Schizosaccharomyces pombe: one gene and its partner. The gene in region 2 interacts genetically with the main gene of each other region. Each region holds a gene or a part of one and is shown on either strand. Other genes may lie near its edges. The genes, in order: cnp20 and cnp3.

Region 1 (11,012 bases), 3.8 Mb from region 2:
CGAATTTTTTTCTATACCCTATCTCTTAAACGATAGGTATGTTTCTCATCTCTGTAGCCCTTAACAGATATCGTTCAATTGTCCTACATAGATTAAACCAGTTAAACTTGATTTCCAACCATTATACGTTAACACTTTTTTATAAAATTTGTCAAGTCAAATCACAACTGACACCTTCATGTGGAAAAATACCAAAATGATCTCAGCAATAAAAGGATTAAGAAAAACGAGTGTTAAGCTTTATCGGCTACTTAATGATGCCCAGCATGTTCTTCTTCATCAGTAGAGCTATTGTCATCATCCTTTATTTCGGCTGCTTGAAGATTTGCGAATTGATTATCAAATTCATCATCGACGTTAAAAGCATCATTAGCCAGAGATCCTGAGACAACTTGTTGTACCGGTAACTCGTCGTCGTCGTTATCCGATTCGTTCGCTGTATCAAAATCAAAGGGTTGACTAACTTCGTTAGAATTGACAGTAACCTCAGTATTACTATTTGCTTCAAAAGCACCTGATGTAGTATCAAAGTACTGATTCTCAGTACTTGAGGGTATAGTCTCCGAATTAGGATGCTGTACATGAGTAGTCGTAGACATTTCTAATTGATGATTAGGATCAGGAAGCTCCGTAACTGCAGAGGTGTAATTCGTGACTGATCCAATTGAAATTTGAGGAGAAAGATTAGACATTGGGGGCTCCTCATCACTAGAACTTTCATCATCATCAATCTCATTAAACTGAATTGGTGGAAACTCATCTTGAATATGAGGTGTCGCTTGTTGTACAACTCCATCTTGCGCAGACCTATCGCGTCGAGAAGGAGGAACAGGAGGTTTCACAGGAGCAGGTGTACTAATTGTTTCAGTAGCAAACGGTGCACTAATAGGTTCAGTGGCTTGTTGTTTATTAGCAATTTCAAATGGTGTAGGTGCACTAGTGTTTTCAATAGGTTCCGCACTTGTATTCTCGACTGGCTCAGCTGTGTTTCTGGCAGATCCTGTTAACTTTGACAAGTCAGATAATACCGGGGATCCACGTTGTGAAGCAGAGGTTGATACATCCACAACACTGCTATCCTGATGTTGTGGCTCCTCCATATTTGACAACTGCACAGGTTCAGAGTCCAAGCTAGGATTAACACTTGAGTTATTAACGCTAAGAGATGTAGTCTTTGAAATGCTTCTAGGAAACACAGCCGAAGCAAATTCACTTTCCCAGAAATTTGAAACCGGTGAACTAGCTCCTGAGATTTTCAAGTTATGGAATGGATTTCGGGAAACAGTGGAAGCATGTGCTGATGAATTATTAGAGTTCAGGGATGGAGAACGGAGAGTATTATGCATTGCATCAAAAGAATTATGTTGAGTGGGCACCGAGGAAGTAGTATCAGGAAGGGTTGGCTTATCAGTGGTAATTCCATTGCTGGTAAAAGATGGGAAACGAGGTGTCGAATCCACTTCGGGTTTCGGAGCTTCTTCAGTCAGGTTAACGGATTTCAATCCATCTTCTAATTTGCTGAGTTCTTGCTTTTCAGCTTCCAATTGTTTAGAGTGTTCGTGATATTCTTCGGTTGCGGTAGCTAGTTGCGTTTTAGAGTTATTAATTTTGTACTCTAGGTCAAGTTTTCTTTGCGAAACAGCCTTACTCTCTTCGTCCAAACTAACCAGACGTTGAGTCATTTCATCCAATTGTAAATGCAACTGGGCGAGCGTCTGCTCTTTATCAGCAACCTCGGACTTAAGTTGTTGAATTGAAGCATTAGATGACTCTACCATATTCTTGGCCGCTTCAGATTCTGCAACGACTTGCTCTAAAACTTCACCCTTTTGTTTATTCTGTTTTTGCAATGCATTAAGCGTGGCTTCCAAAATTGAGTACTCCCGATTAACTTGCTCAGTTTGAGCTTTATTAGTTTCAATGTCCAAACTGATCTGCTTGGCTTTTGCTAGTTCCTCATCATAGGCCTTTCGTATTTCACTGACCTTGGCTTTGACATCGCTTAAGTTTGCGGCAACATCGCGAGATGACTTTTGTAAATCATCATTAGATTTCTTTACTTGGGATAATTGCGATTCTAACTTGGGTACCTCTGCAGCTAATTTTAGTTGTTCGGCAGACGCAACCTGAGGAATAGGGGCAGCAAGTTGTGAGGGAACAGAAGTTCGAACTGCTGAAGGTTTGTCCATGGTGTTTTTGGCAATCGTCTGCCCAAAACTGGATTGAGGAAAGAATGTTGATGTAGGGGAATTAGGTTTAGCAGCTGGAGAAGTGGGAAACCCTGGAGTATGGTTAAGTTGGAGAGGTGAAACAACAGGGAACGGTGCACTTTTAGTTACTGGGGGGGCTGAATGCTTTGTAGCATTCGAAGATGTATGTTGAGGAGCAAGGGTAGGAGAGAAAGGAGTAGCATCCAAGCTTAGTAAATCCTCAGTTCCTGAAGTTACTCGGGATGGGCCCGTAGGATTAGGAGCCAACGTAGGGTTGGGATTAGGAGACGAAATATTAGCAGGAACAACGGAAGGGATAGAAGTTGGCACGCTTTTGCTCTTTTGCATTAATGGAGCAACCGAAGAGAGCATAGAAGAAGGGAGCACTTTGGGTAGCTCTTTTCCGGATAATTTGAGCTTAATTAAATAAAGAGATATACAAAACTCACCAATGTTTAATTTACCGTTACTATTAGTGTCACTAAGGTCCCAAATTTGTGCTAAGACATCTTCAGGAAGTTTAGAAGCAAGGAAAAACGAATATGCCTCGCTACCAGAAACGTATCCTTTGTGCGCTTTATCAACGTTGGAAAACAACTGACAGAAGCTAGTCAAGTCTTGAGATGGAATGGCCCATGGATCTGAAACAGGGATGTTTGGAGCTTGCACAGGTGGACTTCGGCTGAGGCCGGGATACTGAGAGGGTGCAGAAACTGATGAGGTTGAAGCTGCGGAAGCGATAAATGATGGTGAAATAGAAACAGGAGGAGACTTTAAGGAACCGTTTAATAAAAGGTTGATTATATGCATACCGGTATTAAACTCGCGAATATCCAGAGCCCCGCGTTTATGAGTATCAACTAAATTCCAGACTCGCGCAAGAATTTCAGTACTAAGAGGTGCACGACCAAAGATTGAGCTAGCTCTGTCACCATCCATCAGACCGTCAGTTGGGCAGACTGTAGTAAACATTTGTTGATACCGTGTCATTTCATCTGAAGAAATAGGAGGTAAGAAAGAACCATCAGATCCATCACCAGAAGAAACGTTATTTGGTCGATTCAGCTGAACAAACTTTGAAGAATCAACGCCAGAGATATGGATATCGGCAAAATATGGAATTTTCCCCGATTTTTTGTAATCAAAAGGTAGCTTTTCTTGTGCGAGAGCCACCAACCTCATGGCAATTACAAAGCCAGAAAATGTAAGAAATCCTCGATTCTCAGCATCTGCGATTTGCCAAATTTGACCAAGGACTTGAGGAGCTAAGCCCGATTTTTCCAAAAACGGTACAGCTTCTTCTCCGGTGATAACGCCAATGTCTTGTTTATCTGCAATTTTAAACAGTTGGTCAAAAGCGGTTTGCTCTTCCGCAGACAAATTCAAAGACATCTCTACTATGCTCAATTTACGTTGTGGTTCAAGTATACTAAATCACTTGTTGAGCAAACTCAGAAATCACCTCCAAAAAAGAGAATTCGATTTACAATACGATCAAAATGTCAAAAAAGACACACTTGTTTGAATCAGGTGTAATTGAGAGGCTGCGATTATATGAGAGCATCCAAGGTAACCGAGATAAAGCAATCGACCCTGCTACCTTAAGCAGGAGTAGTAATTAAGGTAGTTAGCTATATGATACTCTATCACTAAACGCTTTTGCGTGGAAAACAGAGCGTTTAAATATGCTCATAATGATTTGCAATATCGCATTAGCTTTATATAACGATGGTTAACGGCATTGCGTTAATTGATCTATTCATTTCCGACAATTTTTTTGAACTAGTTTCGTGTAAGTAGGTCGTACATAAACGATATCTGAAATGTCTGTTCCTTTTGAAATAATTTACTGTTTTTATGTTTTGATTTTCACAACAGAATGATGCGTATGACAAAACAACACCTGGTTGCATAGTCAAGTTGAAGTGTAAATAAAGCTCAACTTTTTTAGAACTTATTCGGTATTATCAATTTTCGTTTCTTTTATTCGCTCTATAGTGTATTGCTTCGTCTTAAGATTGAACCTTTCCAATTACCGAGTTCATCACCTCTACATTTATTGTAAAAAAGTAATTGTACTGCAATCTCTGACAAGCCATCATGACATACTGACCTTTCAATTACATCCAAAATTCCCTTTAGCTTGTCTTTGTTTGCTTCTTAATGGATGATTTGATCTACAAAAGAAAACGAATCATTATTGGTAAATTAAATAAACATCAGCAGCATTCACGGAGCAATTAAGATACACACTGCCAACGTCAATTACAATAGATTAATGTCAATTGCCTTTCTTTAGAGTCTTTTTTTGTTTGCCAGTTATGAACAGTAGCTCACGGATTAGAAAGTTCAAAAATCAATTATTACGCTTTCTCTTGATGTATCTTAATTCTTCTGAGAGATTGCTTTTAGTCCAGTAAAGACATTTACATCACTGTAGTAAAACAAGTCAAATCACTTAAAAAACTAGTATCTGTCCTCTTCTTCGATATTTTTACCTGGTCGACGGCTGCTTAGTGCTAGACCGTGTTAAAACCGATTGTCTCATTTTCGATTAAACATAGTCTGGTATTATAGATCAGTTGATTAAAACATTTGTTAGCTTTCAAAGTAGATCGTTGAATTGAAGGATTTTACTCAACACCAAAAATCATACACCAAATTTTTTTATCCTCCTTTAGACAATGCTATTACCACAAAAGAACGGGATGAATGGGATCATTTGCTTCTAGACACTAAATTTAAGTAGCCGATAAAAGACGGCTTAACATCCGAGCTTTCGGATGTTCATTTTCACACGATGATTTTGGGTTATCTATTTATACCCAATTTGTATATCTGACATGTGCTTGTTTATCGGTTGGAAATATCTGTCTTTACAGATAATGTGTAGATCATGGTTACTATATATGACTTAGGAGGCTGGTCAATTTAATAGAACCTAGGAAGGAATAATAAAACATGCACTTTGCCAAACTTGGAGCAATTGGTCTTCTTGGAAGTATCATTTGTGCTTATGCCGCTAGTGCTGCTTCAAAGGTCATAATCGACAATGATGGGCTGACGGATTTACAAGTTTTATTTGCTTTACAAGCGAAACAACAAATCCTTGGTGTAACAGCAATTTACGGAGATTACACCTTGGATGATAGTCTTTTTTTGGCTTCGGATGTTTTGTCTACTGGTAATTTGACATATTGCATACCATCTTTCGCAGGTGCTGCCCAGCCATTGTTGCGCACTAATAATACTTTTCAAATTTGGCAGGAGCTGTACGGTAGTTACGTTTGGCAAGGATATTGGCAGCCTGAATATGAAACTGCAAATACAAACAATGAATCTTATATATACAATACTCAAATCTCGGCAGCTCAATTCATTATCGACATGGTTAAAGCGAACCCCAATGAGATTACCATTGTAGCGGCAGGGCCGATGACCAACTTGGCAATTGCTCTTTCAATTTGGCCTGATTTGGCTAAAAACACCAAGTCTTTGGTTATCATGGGCGGCTATGTTGATAGTCAAATCGCACAAGTTACTGGGGGTGACTTTTTGAATGATATGTATAGTGACTTTAATTTATTCATGGAACCTGAAGCTGCTCAAACTGCCATCACCGCAGATTGGCCAGAGCTTATTATAGCCGGAAACATTACCAGTCAAGTGTACCCATCGCAAAGCCTCTACAATGGTATCATTGCGCGCGCAGGTGGAATGGCAAATATTGAAAGCGATTCTGGTCTAAGTTATGCAAAGCAATTTGTGGGCAATGGAACATTGCCTAGTGGATCATTTCCTTTCTGGGATGAAGTTGCTTCTGCAATTGCTGCATGGCCGGAAATCGTAAACAGCTCTTACGATGCTTATGTTTCAGTAGATACTGCTTATGATAGTCCATTTTATGGCAGCTTACGAATGGTGCCAGCCGATTTGGTACCCAAAAAGGGTGTTCGCACAGCAAAAGCTAGCATGATAACTGGAATTAACGTTGCAATGTTTTATCAAAAGATTTATGATTCTTTGACAGCTGAATATTCATCTTATTGTATGAATGGAACAATAATAACTCCTTCCAATATCACCATCAGCAACACAACAAATACAACAAACACCACGGGCTTCTATTAAACTTTAATTATCAATTAATAATGAAAGATCGTGGTTAAATACCAGAGGTTATATCTATTTATATTTATTCCTTTAAACCTCAGACCGATAATCGCTCGTTTGTAATTGGTATATTTTTTAAATTGAACAATACACAAAAGAATTTCGATAATTCATTTTAGCGTGAAACCAAAATACTAGTTTACGTATTCTGTCATTTAATAGATGAATGTTCGTACATCGATATTTAATAAGATTTATTAAAAATTAAATAGTTTAATAATGCAAACTATTATTTTACAAACGTAGATCCTTGTTCATTCATTACATATGAATGGTTTTATCCGCTCTCGAAAAGTAGAATCCAATTAGAAATATAAAATGAAGAGAATAAATCCTTTGAAAAGGACGGGCTAATTTTCAAATGCCTCAAATTATTGAGCGACTAATCGTTCTAAAAAAAGTTATGCTTGCCAGTATAAACTTTTGATATTCATTTTTTTATTTTTTATTTTTTTTGGTGATTAAAGTCATAAAAAAAGAGAAATGGACATGATCAGTCACCTTTTTTAAAAAAACAAAAATACGACCCCCTCAACTTTTAAGGCTAAATTTTACATATGAATGCAGTCTACATCCCAAAAAAAATAATAGCTAAACTTTTAACATTGTACTTTTGGGATAATTTTCAACCATTGACAAAATCAATATACAATTCTATATAACATGTTGAAGGAAATAAATTTAGCTTAAAATTATAATTATTATGCTTTTTTTATGAGGTATAGGGCGCAATTATGAAAGAAATACGGGCGCTTAAATACGAATTTTAAAGAAAAATGTTAACAATAAATAAATACAATTTGACTTTTCTATAGTACGGAATTCAAGAAAAAAAAAATGTCTGTTACATTATTTACTGACTATGCTCTTTCGATTTTTGTTTTAAATTAGATTTTACTTGCCGGCGTCTTGCATAAAAAGGGAAACATAAAAATCCCAGATATGCAAAACTGAGAAAGTATAGAGCGAATTACACAAAGAAAAGCTGTAATAGTTATAACTATAACTTTCATAATAAGTATGTAATGACACACTTCATTTTTTATAAGTGTCTGACGTCGAATACTTTCCTAATCAAAAAATAGGAGAAAAACTAATATAGGTAAATACCAACATGAAACAAGTCATTTAAGAAATATTCATTAGAAACATTTGAAGATTAACTTCAGAGACACTGTCGGCATCCACATAGTCATCTAGAAGTCTGGAGTTGACAAGAGGTTTGCCTTTGTACATCAAACGGATAGAGGAAGGTTGCGTAGATAACTGAGATGCTAAAACTTCTTTAAGCTCCAAAATTGTAGACTGTACATTTATTTCAGTAGATGCTTGTTGAATGGGAGGTCGGACAGTTTTCGCAACAACATGAACTAGATTTTTAGTTAAAAGTAGTTATTTAAGCAGAATTTACCTTTCTTTTCCTCGAACAAAGCTAAATTTCCTTGAAACTCGACCAGTGGAGCAGGAATAGTGATCTATAAAACTATTAGTTTCAATAGCATATTTGTGAAACAAGAATCATTATTACGCACCGAAATAGCAGTTTCATCTATTTTTTCAATTGGAATACTATCAGGGTGATTCCTAGGGGTCTTTGAAAGCTCTTCTAGAAACGATTTAACAATTTGTACCTCGCTCATGGTGATGGTGGAATGTCAAGTTTACTCAAGCTAATTATCAAGTGTCCTAAAACCACTAAAGAGAAAATCTCGAAACAAATATCATACAAAATGCCATTAGTTCCAACTTTGACAAACAACACATCAAATCTGACGTTCAGTTTTTGATAATTATGTTACAATGCTGCTAACCGACAAATTTAAGAGTCCAAATCCTTGATGTAATAGCGCTCAAGTTCAACATAAAGTATTCTATAACTTCGTCTATTTCATGCCTTAAGCTTTACAACCTCGCGAACGTAGTTTACTCAGAATTGTCAAAAAGAATAATAATTATGATTTTAAAAATTTACTGTTAAATAAATTATTAAAGTCATAAGAAATCTTTGCATTGTTAATAAAGTTGCTGTTGCAAATACTATCCATACAAGTTTCTGAAAGTTAAGAGTTTAGTAGTTTTTAAATATTGTTTCCCTAAATGTTTTGCTTATCATTATAGCAAACAATAAAGCTAAATAGTTTAATTGTTCATTTCATGCTTTCATCTTATTTCATAGGCACATAAAGTATCTTTGCGTTTTACTTCGATTTTTTAAAAGAGGTTGTATTCCTTCATGTTTTTAGATAAGATTGCTATGGAGCAGTTTTAGAAAAGATGCGTATATAAAGACAGACAGATTAGAACTTAAGCAAGTAAAGTGTGAAGTAGTTGTATACTAATTAGAAAGATGATATAACCAACCTTACTAGAGCCATAATCTTTAATCAGCCCTGAAATCGTCTTGTTCGAATCATTTGTTTTTTAAAAGGATTGATTATTATTGTTTATTTCTCCTTAATATTTATCAAAAACTCCAAATCGCTGTATAGGTAGCATGGTATACATATATTCACTCAACCTACATTTCTAATCAATCACGCTTACAATGGCTTCTCACAATTATGAGACGCCACTCAAGAGCTCTTCCTTTCAACATTTAGTTGGTACACTTTCTCAGCGACGGCATTTTACCCCCTCTAGAAGCAGGTATACTCCACGTTCTGCTCAACGGACTGTTACTCCTCATAAACGGAGAGCTCTTGCACGCAGGAATAGTCTAGCAAGGAGAAGGAGCAATGTGTTTTCCGCAACAACTCCTAGAGACATTCTCAGAATGCTCAGTCGTGCGCTGGCAAAAAATCCAGTACCATCACCAGCTGAATCAGAATCCTCCGAGCGACGACATACTCCACAAACTAATAGTCAAAAGTCTCAAAAGACACCAAGATTGTCTTCGAATAAGCGTCGGACTTTAAAAAATGATGCTAAACAAAGGAATTCCCAATCTCCAGGTACCGACACTAGCGATGCAAATCTGACGATACAATCCATCGAAGCTCCAAGGCGTGCTCCACAGCGCCTTAGCGACTTTTTTACACCAGATGGAAGGCGTGTCAGTAATATTCGTGATTCTCTAATCTCAGAAAAACGATTAGAAAATAATATTGACCAAGTTCAAGAAAGCGCGTTAAGTACCGCTTCTAGTAATCGACTCATAGATTTAAAAAATGACGAAGTTCCTATTTTTCGCATTCCTTTAAGTGATTATGAAACAGATGACATGGATGACGGTACACCTCTCCAACGCCATGTTGCGACCCTGAACCAATATCAAAGTCCCATTTTTAATTTAGGCCCGGACATTTTAGAAGATGAACCATCTTACTCTTCAAGAGCTTCCAGATCCCGTCAATCATCTCTCTCTTCTCGATTATCTGAGTTACCTTCTAAACGCGCCAGCCTTGAGATTTTAAGGCGCGAAAATACTTTCCCAGCCGATCCAATTCAGGAATTTGGTGAAAAAGCATACAATGAAAGAGAATTGATGGAAGAAATCTCAAATTTTGAACCCTTACTAGATGATAACTTGCTTGAAAATGCCAACGAAGCTGTCAATTCCCCAGTAGTAGACGCACCAATGGATGCTGATTCTGCTTTAGAAATACCCAATGATGAAGATAATGGGGAAATTCTAAATAAACTAAAAGATTCTCCGTTTAAAAAACCTAAAAGAAGATATTCCAAATCTTCAACACTTGTGCTACCGGAAACAAATATTAGGAAGTTGGCTAATTCCTATTCACAGAAAAAAATTGCTGGATCAGTGATTGAAGAACTAACTACAGCTTCTGAACTCTTTTTCAAACAGATCGCGAATGACCTTTCGGCTTTTGCAGACCATGCTCATCGGAAAACAATTGACACGCAGGACGTGGTTTTACTTATGAAAAGACAAAGGAAAATAAGTGAGAAAAAATCCCTATCCTCTCTAATGCAGCAATATTTATCGCGTGAAATTGCACCTCCGGCAATTAAGAGAACCTAATGCGTACTTCTCCTTTACATTCATCCCTGTATATTAGAATTTTTTTCATCGTTTTACCTCTTTGGATGTTAAGATTTTTTATTAATAGTTAATTTAATGATTATTTATATTTATTGCTATTTTTATATTATTAATTAATTGTAAGGCACGTCTAGAAAATTTGTTTTCTTAGGAAATAGAATTATTTTCAAAATTTGCAACCTATGCAAGAACGCTTGATTCGATACACTTACAAGTTTGTTTAACAGCTTTTGATTATTTGTAATTTAGCCAACATTTATTTTCGTCCATTAGTTAAAATTACATGATCAAGTAAATAAATTTCATTATCTGCTAACTGCAAGAAACATTTATTTTTATAATTTTTTTTAGTATTTGAAAGATGAGTTTGCAGGGAACATCCGTAGTAGTGCTAATTACTCTCAGGTGTGTTATGTTGAATCTCTCATAAGCCATCAACGACTTTCATTCACGAGTGTCCTAAAGGTTTTTATATACCCGGGATTTTGTCGAAATAAAGCATTTATGAAATCCAACCTATCATTAAAACGGCAAGATGAAAAACGTGCCGACAAAGAGCCCAATTTGTACACATTGCAAGGTGTAATTCAATATTTACAGTACGAGGCTTTCAAGAATGAAAG
Region 2 (11,817 bases):
TTACTCCTCAATCTTTTCGGCAGCAGTGTAAAGTTGCTCACGCTTTTCTTCAACAGCCTTGGCTCTGCGTTGACGAGCAGCCTTGGCACGAGCACGACGAGCATCTTGTTGCTCTTGGATCAACTTAGTACGGTTGGCCTCAGCCTTGGCACGTTGAATATGCTCAATTAAAGCACGCTTGTGTTTAAAGGTGTTACCCTTAGCTTCCAAATAAAGAGTGTGATAAAGATGCTTATCAATCTTGCCAGACTCACGATACTTGCGAAGAAGACGACGCAAAACACGTTGACGGCGCATCCAAACAACAGCAGAGGGCATACGAGCTTCGGCAGTACCCTTACGCTTACCGTAACCGGTGTGACGACCAAGACGCTTGGCGGCATGGGTCTTACGAATGCGGAAGCGAGAATGCATCAAGTTAGGCTTGCGAATAACCAAACCGTCCTTAATCAACTTACGGACGTTTTGACGGCTGTTGGCATTGCTGATTTCGCTGATTTCATTAGGATCCATCCAAACTTTGCGTTTGCCGCATTTAAGGACGGATGCAGCAAGTCGCTTCTGCGTTCTAAGATTGGCCATTTTTCTTGCTGTTTTTGGTGGACGGACAATCTTTCTTAAACAGGCGTGGTCAATTCTTTTGTTTTTGGGGCAGTCACGTTTAGGGTAGGGTTGGGTGATAATTCAGTACTCTGCTATGAGGAACAATGACAACGAATAAAGAATAAAAAAAGTATTTAGAAAATTTATTAACATTACCAAATGCTTTGACTGAAGTAAATATGATTATTAAAATTATCCCTTACATTCGTTGAATCAGTTACCGAATATGCACATTGTGTTTCATTATTTTAGAGGATGCAAACTGAAAGGTATAGCAGATACTCGTAATACAGTATATTGAGGCTCATTAACCTTGAAAAGGCACTTAATAATCCAATCTAAGTAATAATAATAATATAAATAAAATTATAAAACTATGGTTAAACTCATCATTTAGAATTCAATCATGTACGATAAAGTGAAACCTTTCTCTAAATATTAAAGAGAAACTTTAATATTCTGCCGTCGGAAAGGGTTATCAAAATAGTATCTTCATACAGTCCTATATCTTGAACCTTACATTCTTTTTCGTAATCAGATACGGGCTTATTGTGGATGTTTGTGCAAGTTAGCATTAGCGGAGATACGATTGATTGATAATTTGTATCATGAAGATCCCAAACACAAATATCGGCACAGTTTTTGGATACAGAAACAATTCTTCCACAAGAAAATAGTTTAGATATCTGAACACCACAAACGTGTCCTAAGAGACGACCTAAAAATTTTATCCGTAATTCGTTGTTAGTTGAATAAAGCCTCTGCAAAATTAAAGAATTGTCCGGATGAGATGTCAAAATATAGGACCCATACATAAAAATAGCAGAAGCAGGTTGCTGAGAGTACTCAATGTCTTTGTTGTCATGCAATGCAAGCCTACTACTTTTGACGCAATATTCGTTGAAAACAAATTCTTGCAAACTAACGGTCCATCCACCAGATAGAACATAATCATTAAAAACTACATGAACAACTTCATATCCTTCTTTTGATTGCTGAAAGTGAATAGCAACCTGTTTTTCAATACTTGAAACATGATATTTACCAAGTACTTTCAATTTGGTTCCAGCTTGATGAGAATGCTGAAGTATATATAAATTGTTGTCGTTTGTCAATCCACAAATGTAATTTTTATGCGATGATAATGCCACAAATTTGGTAGAGAATGTTGCAAGGTTTTCAATATTTCCGAAACCTGTCTCATGCACCGTTACATGTAGCAGGTTACCATCCTTTAAACCAATATAAAGGCTGGCGTTATCCAGACACATTACAGCCGGACCAGATTTGACAGTTTCATCTCTAAAAGAAGAAATAGCCTGGCATTTCAAACTGTTACCAACTGAGCTCCATTTTGATATTTGAACGTCATTACAAAAATAAATATTATTTTGGTGTGTAAGCGTTAGCCCCAAACGATCTTCTCCAACGCTTTTTTCAGAATTAAGCAATTGAGGGAGCATAGACTCTACTTTTTTACAACGTCCGTCCTTCCAGTTAGATTGCCTTCGAAACAATCCTTTCCAATTCCTTCGTTTTTTTTCAATGCGACCATGTCGTCGTAAATGCTTAGTCCCAAATTCTGAGAGATATAAATTATGCCATACCTGTATGAAGGTCGTTAGTACATGGAAATCAGTCTCTCAAAACATGAAAATTCGACTATATCACTAAAAAGTCAAGAAGAACATACCGATGAACGGCGCACAATTGAATTCCAACTACGAGATACACGTTCTAAAGCAGCTAAGTCATGTGCAGACAAATCATTAAGAACGTGAAGGAGGGTTTCATGGCTGAAAATCGACGCAGGGTTTTTAGCCTTCACATCGGTAGTCATGTTGGATAAAATCAAAATTGCAATTGTTCATGAAAAAATATTTCACAAGCGGAAACCGAGGTTCTATATAAAATTGGAATGACAAATTGTATTATAGAGACATACTAGTTTCGTTTGTATCTCCAAGTTGACTTAGTTGTTGTAGGAAGTGAGACTATCAGGGTAACGGTCACCTAGCTTACCAAATGTCATTTCGTTTACAAAACTTACCACCATTTAATGTATTTAAAATATCTACACATAAAGATCTCTTTTAATTACATTCCTTGACGACTTTACTCTCCAGTTAAAATTTTTAATCATGATATTTGGGTACATTAATAAATTGTCAATTTTGAATGTGAACCCGTTTTCCAAAGCTAGTCAATCTGCGAAACTTTTGCTAGCAGTTGCCAGTAAAGAAACCAGCAACTCTCTTTATGGACTTAATCTCATTACCAGTCTTGCATCAAAGGATACCAATTCAAAACCATCTGTTGAAGTTGTATACAGTAAGGCTTTTAAGTAGCTAGATGGTTTAACTGCGACCGTTAGATTTGACTTTTGCTAATAATTATTATTTAGAGGATGGAAAAAAGTTGACTGTTGATCCGACAAAAATGAATATTGGTAGGCTAACTGAATTAATTGACGATTACAGTAAAACGCTTAAATTTAAGGAAATGATGCAAAAATAAGTTTAGAAAAAATGACTTTATTAATATGATTAAATTGATAACAGATAATTAAATTACATAACGACTAAATGACTTTTGTACATCGAAATCCATAACACACTATTAGTATTGTCATCGTTCGTTTGGAAAATCCCCTATTCCCCTTCTTTTATTTTCCAAGGTGTCGGTCGCATGGGTATAATAAAGTCGAACAGCTTCTTTGCCGATATTTTTTATGCTGTAATAATTCCCTAAAGCAATGTTAGTCAAAACACATTCTCGGTGTATAATTCCTGTTTGAATTTTTAGAAATGTGTATATTTAAACTTACCCCTTGGAACAATAAATACTCCATCTTTTTTCATTCGAAAAGTGGTTGCATTTACTGTGACCTCGATCTTTCCCTGTAGTATACAAAAAGACATTATGTTGTGTTTCGAAGGCTTCACTGGTTTTTCTGCTCCTGCTGGCATTTCAACGACGCCAGCAGCAAAAGATGGCTCCTCCTTGAACAAGCTGGCAAATTTTAGTTGTTGATTAGAGATTTGCTGGAGATTTACAGAAGGCAATGAATAGCCGACTACTCGTTCTTCAGAGGCTTTTGGGTTTTGTTCATTCCAAGATAGAACTTCACAGTTTATTTCGTCTTTGTAAAAAGCATCATATTCTTCAACATCATTCGATTTTGCTTCCAAGTTACTTTTTATTTCAACTCCTGAGCGCTTTGCATGCCTTTTCTTGCGACCTTGACGAATTGAAGGTGATGGATCGTCAACTCGGATTATCTGCTTTACTTCCGGTAGTGCTGGAATTCGATTTTCATCTCTATGTAATTCATATACAACACGCTCATTCTTCCAAAATGCTAGTGGTGCTATTCGTGTACGTTTCGACCTTCGGACACCAACTAGTGTATCTTCACGTTCGACCTGTTTAATTTCCTGTAAATTATTTCGAGCAATTGTTTTAATAAATTCTCCAGAAGCTGAATCTGATTGTGAATTCAATGAGTCATCCTTCTCGTTGGACATCTTCTTCGCGTTTCTAATTGCAGGTTTCTTTGCGCCTTTAACTTGTGTAGCCTCACTAGTTTGAACAGAATTGCCGATTTCTAATTTGTTCTTACGAGGTCGACCACGTTTTCTCTTGACTACTGGATTTGACTCCCCTTCTTTAACAGAATTTATGCTTGATTCTTGTAAAGGTTTATTAGGTGTTCTTTTCTTATTCTTTTGAGAATTGTTTGCTAGGCTTCGATTAAGCATAGAAAGCGGGACATCGATAGAAAGTTCGGAATCTTCATCTCTAGAATTTGGTTTGTTGCCCTGGGATATTGTTTTCTTTTCCTCTTTTTGCTTATTCTGTTTAGAAGGCTTAATCGTCTGTTCTGACTTATTATTTTGAACATAACTTCTACGGGGTTTTGAAATGGTTTGTATATAAAGATTATCGCGACCACCACTATCCTTGATACTAGTAAAATTCGCTACATTTTTTTGTAAAGCAGTAATATTTTCATCGGGGAATGCAGGCGATTCTTGAACGTTATCATCCTTGGGCGTAGAGGATGGTATTTTGGAAGGAAGTTCGGTACTTCTTCGAGGTTCGAATTTTTTTCTATCTGGAGATGCTTTTATCCTAGAAAAATCGACAATTCGATTTGCTTTTCTTGGCTGAATTGATAATTTGTTGCCATCGACTTTCGTCTTATCAGCGGTTCCTTCATCTTCCGCTTGAAAAGCTGAGTGATCTATAGGTACTGTATGTATAATTAGTAATTTTATCAATGAAATGAAACGGAAAGTAACAGTAGAGTATTTGAGGAGTTGTAAAATAAAAATCTGTGATGCGTAGATAGAACCTTACCAATTAAAGGACCAGACGAACCACGGCTAGCCCGAAGAGCTCTCGAATTCATCAACAATGGTGAAGAAGGAATATCCGGGTTTTTATCACTAGAGTCAGAAGATGAGGCATGAGAAGCTTCATCAGAAGCAGCATTGACTGCCATTGGAGACGTAGGTTGAAGTCTTGTTACTGGCGGCATATCCTGCTCAATGTCTCCATTATCTTCGTCCAAATGGATGGAACCGTCGGAAAGAAAATAAGCATCCATATCCTCGAATCCATCATCGCCTTTTTTAACGTCTCTGGGAACTGTGAATCCTGTTTTTCTAGATAAAAATATTTTTTAGTAAATTTATTAAAAAAAGAATAATTATTACGATATATGGAACCCAATTCGCGAACGTACCTGCCTACGACACCAATTTCAAAAAACTGATTCTCTCGTTGTCTTGCCGGAATAGCAGACGTTTCATTCATCGTCATTATTCTATTAAATAAACATTAAGTAAAAATATAGCCTAAATAGCCAAACAAAACAATATATGGGGACGTAAGTGTTGTCTTTCTTGTTTACGTGTAGTACAGGATGTACATTATGTGTCATGGAATAAGCCTATCAATCAGACCCATGCGAAAAGGCAAGGTGTATTCATTTTTGCTTCCAGTATAACTAACCAATACATATAAACTTAATTGCCTAAGCGCTTTTCTGTTTTTCTGAATGCATTTTATAGTTATATAATGTTAGGCAAACAAATACGAAATTGCGTTGGAAATGAAACTTACTAGTGCTGACAGCGTAGATTACGGTAAACAGAAACAAACATGCCTCCTTAGAATGAAGGTCAGAAAGGGAATTCCAGAGAAGAAATGAACCCTACCTAGAAGCATATTAAGTAGCCGCTACCAAGGGATGAACCCAAATAGTGGAAAAGACGGATTGAGCAATTGACATTCAAAAAAACGGCCTACCGCAATAACAATTTAAGAGATTAAAAATAGATTTATCATTTTTTATAATTTTTTTATTTTTGGGATTTCTTCTGGCTTGGCCATCCAATTGATGATTGTTTATTAACTTACGATTATATTAGTGCTAAACCACCATTATTTATTACAGTCGGTGTTATTAAGCGTATTGCTGACGAGATTTTTTTTCTTGTATGAATCCAAATTTGCGATGCTACGCCTTGACTGTTTTCTTTTTTTCACCATAGTATGTGAAAATTTTCTGATGCCGAAATCTCAGCAATGGTGAAATTTTGCCAAAAAAGGGGTCAATTGATCTTGAATAGGGCTGAAAAAAAAATTCAAAAGTAAATAAAATTAAATATATTTATTTACAAAAAGTTAAGTCGGTTTGGTTTTTCGCTTCTCTTTTTACAAAATTTTTTATTATTTTATTATTTATTTATTAATTTTATATCTAGCAGATCAATATTTAGCAAGCCACCCCGTACAATAATTAAAATAGCTCTTTTCATGACATAGTAAGAAGACTAAAGTGCGAAACATGTTCAATTAACGCCAAGAAAATGCTTCCGTTTACGCCTCCTTCAACCATACCCGAATTTTTTACTCAAAATTTATGTACGTACTTTTGGCTGTATTACAAGAATCCATAGCTAACCTCTGTAAAAGGATATCACCTTATACACAAAGGCTAGGTTATCCTGCTACCACTATAAAGAAAATGAAAGTTCCCATAATGAAGTCTGTATTTTGAATGTATATTGTCACTTTATTTCGCCTACAACCTTCACGCGAACTCAGCAAAAAAGGGAAAACCCTATTTTACAGCGGCTTCAAATCAGGTCCTTATTAGTGCGACCAATTGGCCTTTCTTCCTTAAAATGGCGATTGCCGTTTAAGGAATATCACTAGAAGCCGTTAGCAGCTATTATTTAAATTGGTAGTTTCAACAAGTAAATCGAAGAAGGCATATCTCTTTATACTTTGAGTGGCAACTCAAGAAATTGTTAAAATTAGCTGTTAAAAATTTGCCATAAATATAGAGAGTGAATGTCGTTTTGTTTACTAACAGTAGTACTCATGTACTCTAATCTAAATAGCTGTTTATTTCCAAAAAAAATAGTTTTATAGCTTATTATTCGTAATAATTAGTATTCAACCTTAGATTTGTAATATGCGCTCCGTTGCAAATGCAAAAAGATACTATTAGAGAAGAGCCGATTTTTTAAATTCTCGATGCCGCTGGATCATTTCCACTGTCTGTCTCATTATTTATTCTGTTTTTTTATATGATTCGATTTTATTTGTCTTTTTCATTTATAGCATTGGTCGATTGAAATCAAAATTTGCATTTTTTGTATTCCATTCGGGTTGCCGCCAATGTGTGCCCCTAGTGTGTGCCCCTAGTGTGTCAGGTAAATAACAGCAGTCGAGACAGCGCAATAACCATTGCTTTACAGAAATGAGTAGTAAATCTGTAATAATCTTTGAACTCTTGATTGAAACATTTTTAATTTATTGCCTCTATTTTTTAATGCAATCCCGTTCCATCTTTCCTCTAGCAATTTCTCGATCTATCCAAAAGATATAGGGAGATTGAAGGTGTCCTAATGTGCGATTACGTATCCCTCATCGGTAAACGGCGCACGACTCCGTTTACCGACAGTCGTTAAGTACCTTGATTCAGCGAGTGCTACGGTAACAACGGGTTAAAGGTATCATCTTGTTATCTGAGTCGGATGGCCCAAGGTATCACAATATATGAAGGAAAAAGAGTACTTTATTCGCGTTTCCCATTTTCTACTCTATCTTCCATTCCAATATATAAATTGGACTTTTGCTCGTGTGCAAGTTTTTCGCGCTTTTTATTTATCGTTTGTAAATTAGATTTAAGAGGTTTCGCCTCTTTGGAAATATCTTTCTTTGCCATCCTTCTTTTGAAAAATCGCGAAATTGTATGACCGTGCAATTTTCTTTTTCTCGAAAAGCTAAACGCCAAGGTAATAGGTTTTCGTGAGAGAAACTCTTCCAATTCTTAATTTCAATTGTGAATACAACCGATTGTTGGAGGGTTTACAATTTTTTCCGAAAATTTCTCGACACCCTTGCTATACGTGCCATATAGCTTAGGGACACCATTCTTATTTTCTTTCTTAAAGAAGAAAAACTTCTGTAATACCTTCCGCATCCTTTTTTCATCATAGGAGGGGATCAATTGTTTTCATAATCTGTGCATCTTTTCGTATAGTGTAGACGAGCTACTTCATGTCAATACTTCTCTAATTTCTAGAGAAGAAACAAACAAAATTTAACATCTGTACTTATATTTTCTTTTTTTTGGTTACATTCATTCTCTTATTTCGTTTTTTTTGCTTTATTTACCTCCATTCCCTTTTTTTAGTGTACGGAAAAAAAAACATCGGTTCATTTACAGATTGGAGTTTAATTTATAGACAGCAACTCCTTCCTGTTCCAAGAACTGATACATTCTATTAAAATCCCTGGATCTTTTCTGATATTTATATACTGTTAATCTCTTTATTCGACATTGCTTGTGTCTTTCTGTCGTGTTTACTTAATAATCCAACGTTTATCTATCTGTCTTTTTACATTTTTTATTGTTTTTTAAAGCAATTAATCAAGGATGAACTTTTATTCCTTGTTGCCATCTAGACATGATGTTAGCGCGGATAATATTACTGAAAAGTTCTGCCAATTCTGTCTTTGCTGCAATCCCTGGTATGCAGGTGCTGACACGAGGCAATTAGCAAATGCATTCAATATGATTCCTAAATCAGAGGGTCAAAAATTTGAGATTTGGGTCTTATTTCTCCTTGTCCGGCAATACCACCAAAAAATAATTAACTCTTGGTCCAAGCTGGTGGGTTTTCTTGGTGTGGAACGAAAAGATGAACAATCTACTCAAAAAATACAACAGTATGTTGTTCGTTTAAAACGGTGGATGAGTCAAACACATGTTGATGCTTTTTTCGATTATCTCCTGAATAAACCAAATCCTTATTATCTCGAAATTCCTGAAACCCAACCTCAAGTTCGATGCAATGTAAATGTAACTGATGATTTGGTTATTAAATCTTTACGTGCAGGCTTAATGTCTCATCCAGATGTTAACTCTTCCTCCATCTCCACAATGCGCACGTCAACCTCCCCTTCTAACTGGATTCATTCAGCTAGTGCTAGTTTAGACGACAACACTCACAATCTTGGTAGCTTTGTCACAAACCCTCATGCAGATTCCCAAGAATGCCCTACCCCTCAATCCCTTTTAATGAGAGCGTCCCATCACATGTCTGAACGAGGTTCTCAACAAGCACATCAGACAACTCCTCAAAACCATTCTCTCCCACATCCTCCAAATATGTTTGAACCACCTGACGAAGACCATCAGTTACCTTCCGCAGCCAACAATTCACATAACCATGATCACGCTTTTCAAACTGCTGAAGCAGTTGGCGTTGCTGATTCCATTGATCCTGACTGGCATCAATGGCCTGATGATTTACGAGACGTTTCTTCACCCAAAGAAAGTGACGGGTTGAATGATTCTTGGTCTCGACAAACCAATCAAGTAGAAACGGAAAATGTTGAAAATGAAGCAGGAGTCCCTCGTAAACGCGGGCGTCCGCCAGGAGCTCGTAACAAAATTAAACGGCTGAGATCTGAACCATCTGTGTCATTAACGCTAAGTATCTCTTGGTATGAAAGATTTGAAAAGTTGATGCATGCTCAAAATACAATGCTTCGCTCTGCATTTTCACATGTTGCTCGTCTGCCCATGGAAACGGTTTCTCAACTTTTATCACACTATACTGAAACGATATCCCAATATCTTCCTCCCTCCGAAACTTCGCCGATCCCCAAAACTCCCAATTTTAAGTTCATCTCAAGTACTCTTTTAGCCCTGGTCTCTTCTCATTCCGAAATCCTTGAAGCCAGTACCGATCGCTTAATTTGGACCGTTCATCAAGGACCATTAACAGCTACTATATGTCATGCATTCAATTTGGAAAAAGCGCCGAGTATGCACTCATTAGCAGAAGCTCAGATGATTCCCGATGTCCCTATATCTCATTCAAATTCAATGGAGCCTTTAGACACTGTTTCCTCATTAAAATTAGAAATTGCCAAACTGAATGCGGCCCTAAAAGAAAAAAATTTAGAACTCGAAAATTTAAAGAGAAAGATTATGAATGCAGTGTTTGACTGAAATCACGATTCTTCCATGCATGTATCTATTTATGCAGTACACTTTGCGACTGCACGTTCCACGAACTGGTGCAATTTCAAAGTTACAAAATTCTCATGTTCAAAAAAGCATAATTGTTTAAAGTATTTATTTTGTTTTCCTTCTCTTTATTTTATAAAAAGTTTTTAGATATTCTACTGCTAGGTGAGATGGGTTACCATCGAGATAGTTTTTTACCTTTGCAGATACAAGTAAAATAATTTCAAATTGGATTTATCATTGTTTTTATTATTATTGAAAAAATTACCATCTTATTTACTCTCGAAAATGTTATTGAACAAGCATTTTTATGCGTGGAATTTTTGTTGTGACTTACAGAGTAACACTTTTCATTAACCCATAAACTAGACGTTCAATAGAAAATTGGTCAATATAGGGGTGTTTTGTCGATTTTATGTCTGTTAAAGAGTCCCTATCATTGCTTAATTCTATGCAAGGAAATGTGAAGATTGGAAATGTGGAACCGGCCAAAGGGAACGAAGGTTATGTTGATAACGCTGGATATGTCGACTGTACAAAGTCTTACTTTGAAGCCACGAAATCTCTGAAAGAGGAACAGCTAGTATGTGATCCAAAATTTACATTATTGGATTCAATCAGTGCCTTTGAAATTATGGAACCGAAAATGGATAGTGGGATTGATTATCAGCCACTTCGTGTAGATTTTTCACGTGATCTCTCTTACTTGGAAATATTAGCGTTAATGGATTTAATTGTCTCTGCGGAAAAAGAGTGGCATTATGGATCCCCCTTATCAGAGAGCTTACTCTGTAGTGCCCATGTGTTCTCCATTTGCAAGTCGCCTATTTCACAAGTGGGTGACAGTGGCTTCTCCAGTGGTAGCGGAAGGAATACAACTGACATCGTTCTTTTCCCTTTTGTTTTGGCTGTTATTAAATGTTGCGATATTGTTCATCGAGAATTTCTGATGGGAAATTTATATGACGAGGAAGACATTAGTTCGTTTTCATATCACATGTCCTTTCTTCAAAATTACCCCATAGAAAAACTCAATTATCTTTTGCAATCTAGCATCGAATATTTGGCTTCCGAGGTTATAAAATTTTCTGCCGAGTTACGACAAATTATCGAGGGAATTCTCAATAGAATACAACTTCGAATTGGTATTTTACGAGTGTATGAAAGGAGTGATATTAAGACCACCATCGATGCTCTCCATCTGATCAAAAATTTGGTACCCGAGATTCAGAACACGGTTTCGGTAGTTGATTCATCTATCAAGGAGAGCATATTAAAGCAATATTGGGATTTTCGCGTCCAAGCCCAATTAGTTGCTACAGCTCCTGTGAGGAATATTCCTCCTACTGGCATTGAGCATTCTTATCAACGAATTTTGTATTTTGCTGATGATATGCTTTTGATTTTGAATAGCCACACTCTCGCTTCTTCCTTGGCAGTATATCAGTTTTGTTTAGATTTTACGAGATTGAATCGTACTCCAGAGCCTTACGTCCGTTCCTCCCTTCAAGCACTTATCACTGCTAACAATGCAGTTAATCTAAGGGATCAACCTACTTCGTATATGTTAGAATGTATTCGTGAGTTTTCTGGGCTTCCTTCAAATTTTTATAATCCTAACACCCGTACAGTAATCGAAAAAAACTCTATCT

Evidence for each region.
Region 1: mutations in cnp3 (region 2) and cnp20 are lethal when combined (synthetic lethality), as found in Schizosaccharomyces pombe (one study listed by BioGRID).

What each region holds. Positions count from the first base shown.
Region 1 is NC_003423.3:270,736-281,747, forward strand, and holds cnp20 (centromere receptor protein cnp20), read left to right. Parts: upstream 1-8,747; 5' UTR 8,748-8,928; coding exon 8,929-10,368; 3' UTR 10,369-10,512; downstream 10,513-11,012. Other genes in the region: ede1 (EPS15 repeat-containing family actin cortical patch component protein), read right to left, coding at 252-3,602; SPOM_SPBC800.11 (inosine-uridine-preferring nucleoside hydrolase), read left to right, coding at 5,172-6,341; SPOM_SPBC800.12C (ubiquitin family protein), read right to left, coding at 7,512-7,753, 7,795-7,858, 7,916-8,023; csc3 (WD repeat-containing protein), read left to right, coding at 10,894-11,012.
Region 2 is NC_003423.3:4,123,139-4,134,955, forward strand, and holds cnp3 (centromere protein), read right to left. Parts: upstream 5,529-11,817; 5' UTR 5,431-5,528; coding exon 5,354-5,430; exon of another isoform or gene 5,274-5,353; coding exon 4,966-5,273; intron 4,859-4,965; coding exon 3,431-4,858; intron 3,351-3,430; coding exon 3,232-3,350; 3' UTR 3,180-3,231; downstream 1-3,179. Other genes in the region: rpl1901 (60S ribosomal protein L19), read right to left, coding at 1-582; F-box protein Pof12, read right to left, coding at 1,035-2,210, 2,297-2,443; mrpl44 (mitochondrial 54S ribosomal protein mL53), read left to right, coding at 2,745-2,934, 3,008-3,120; ARS-binding protein Abp2, read left to right, coding at 8,564-10,147; naa35 (NatC N-acetyltransferase complex subunit Mak10), read left to right, coding at 10,581-11,817.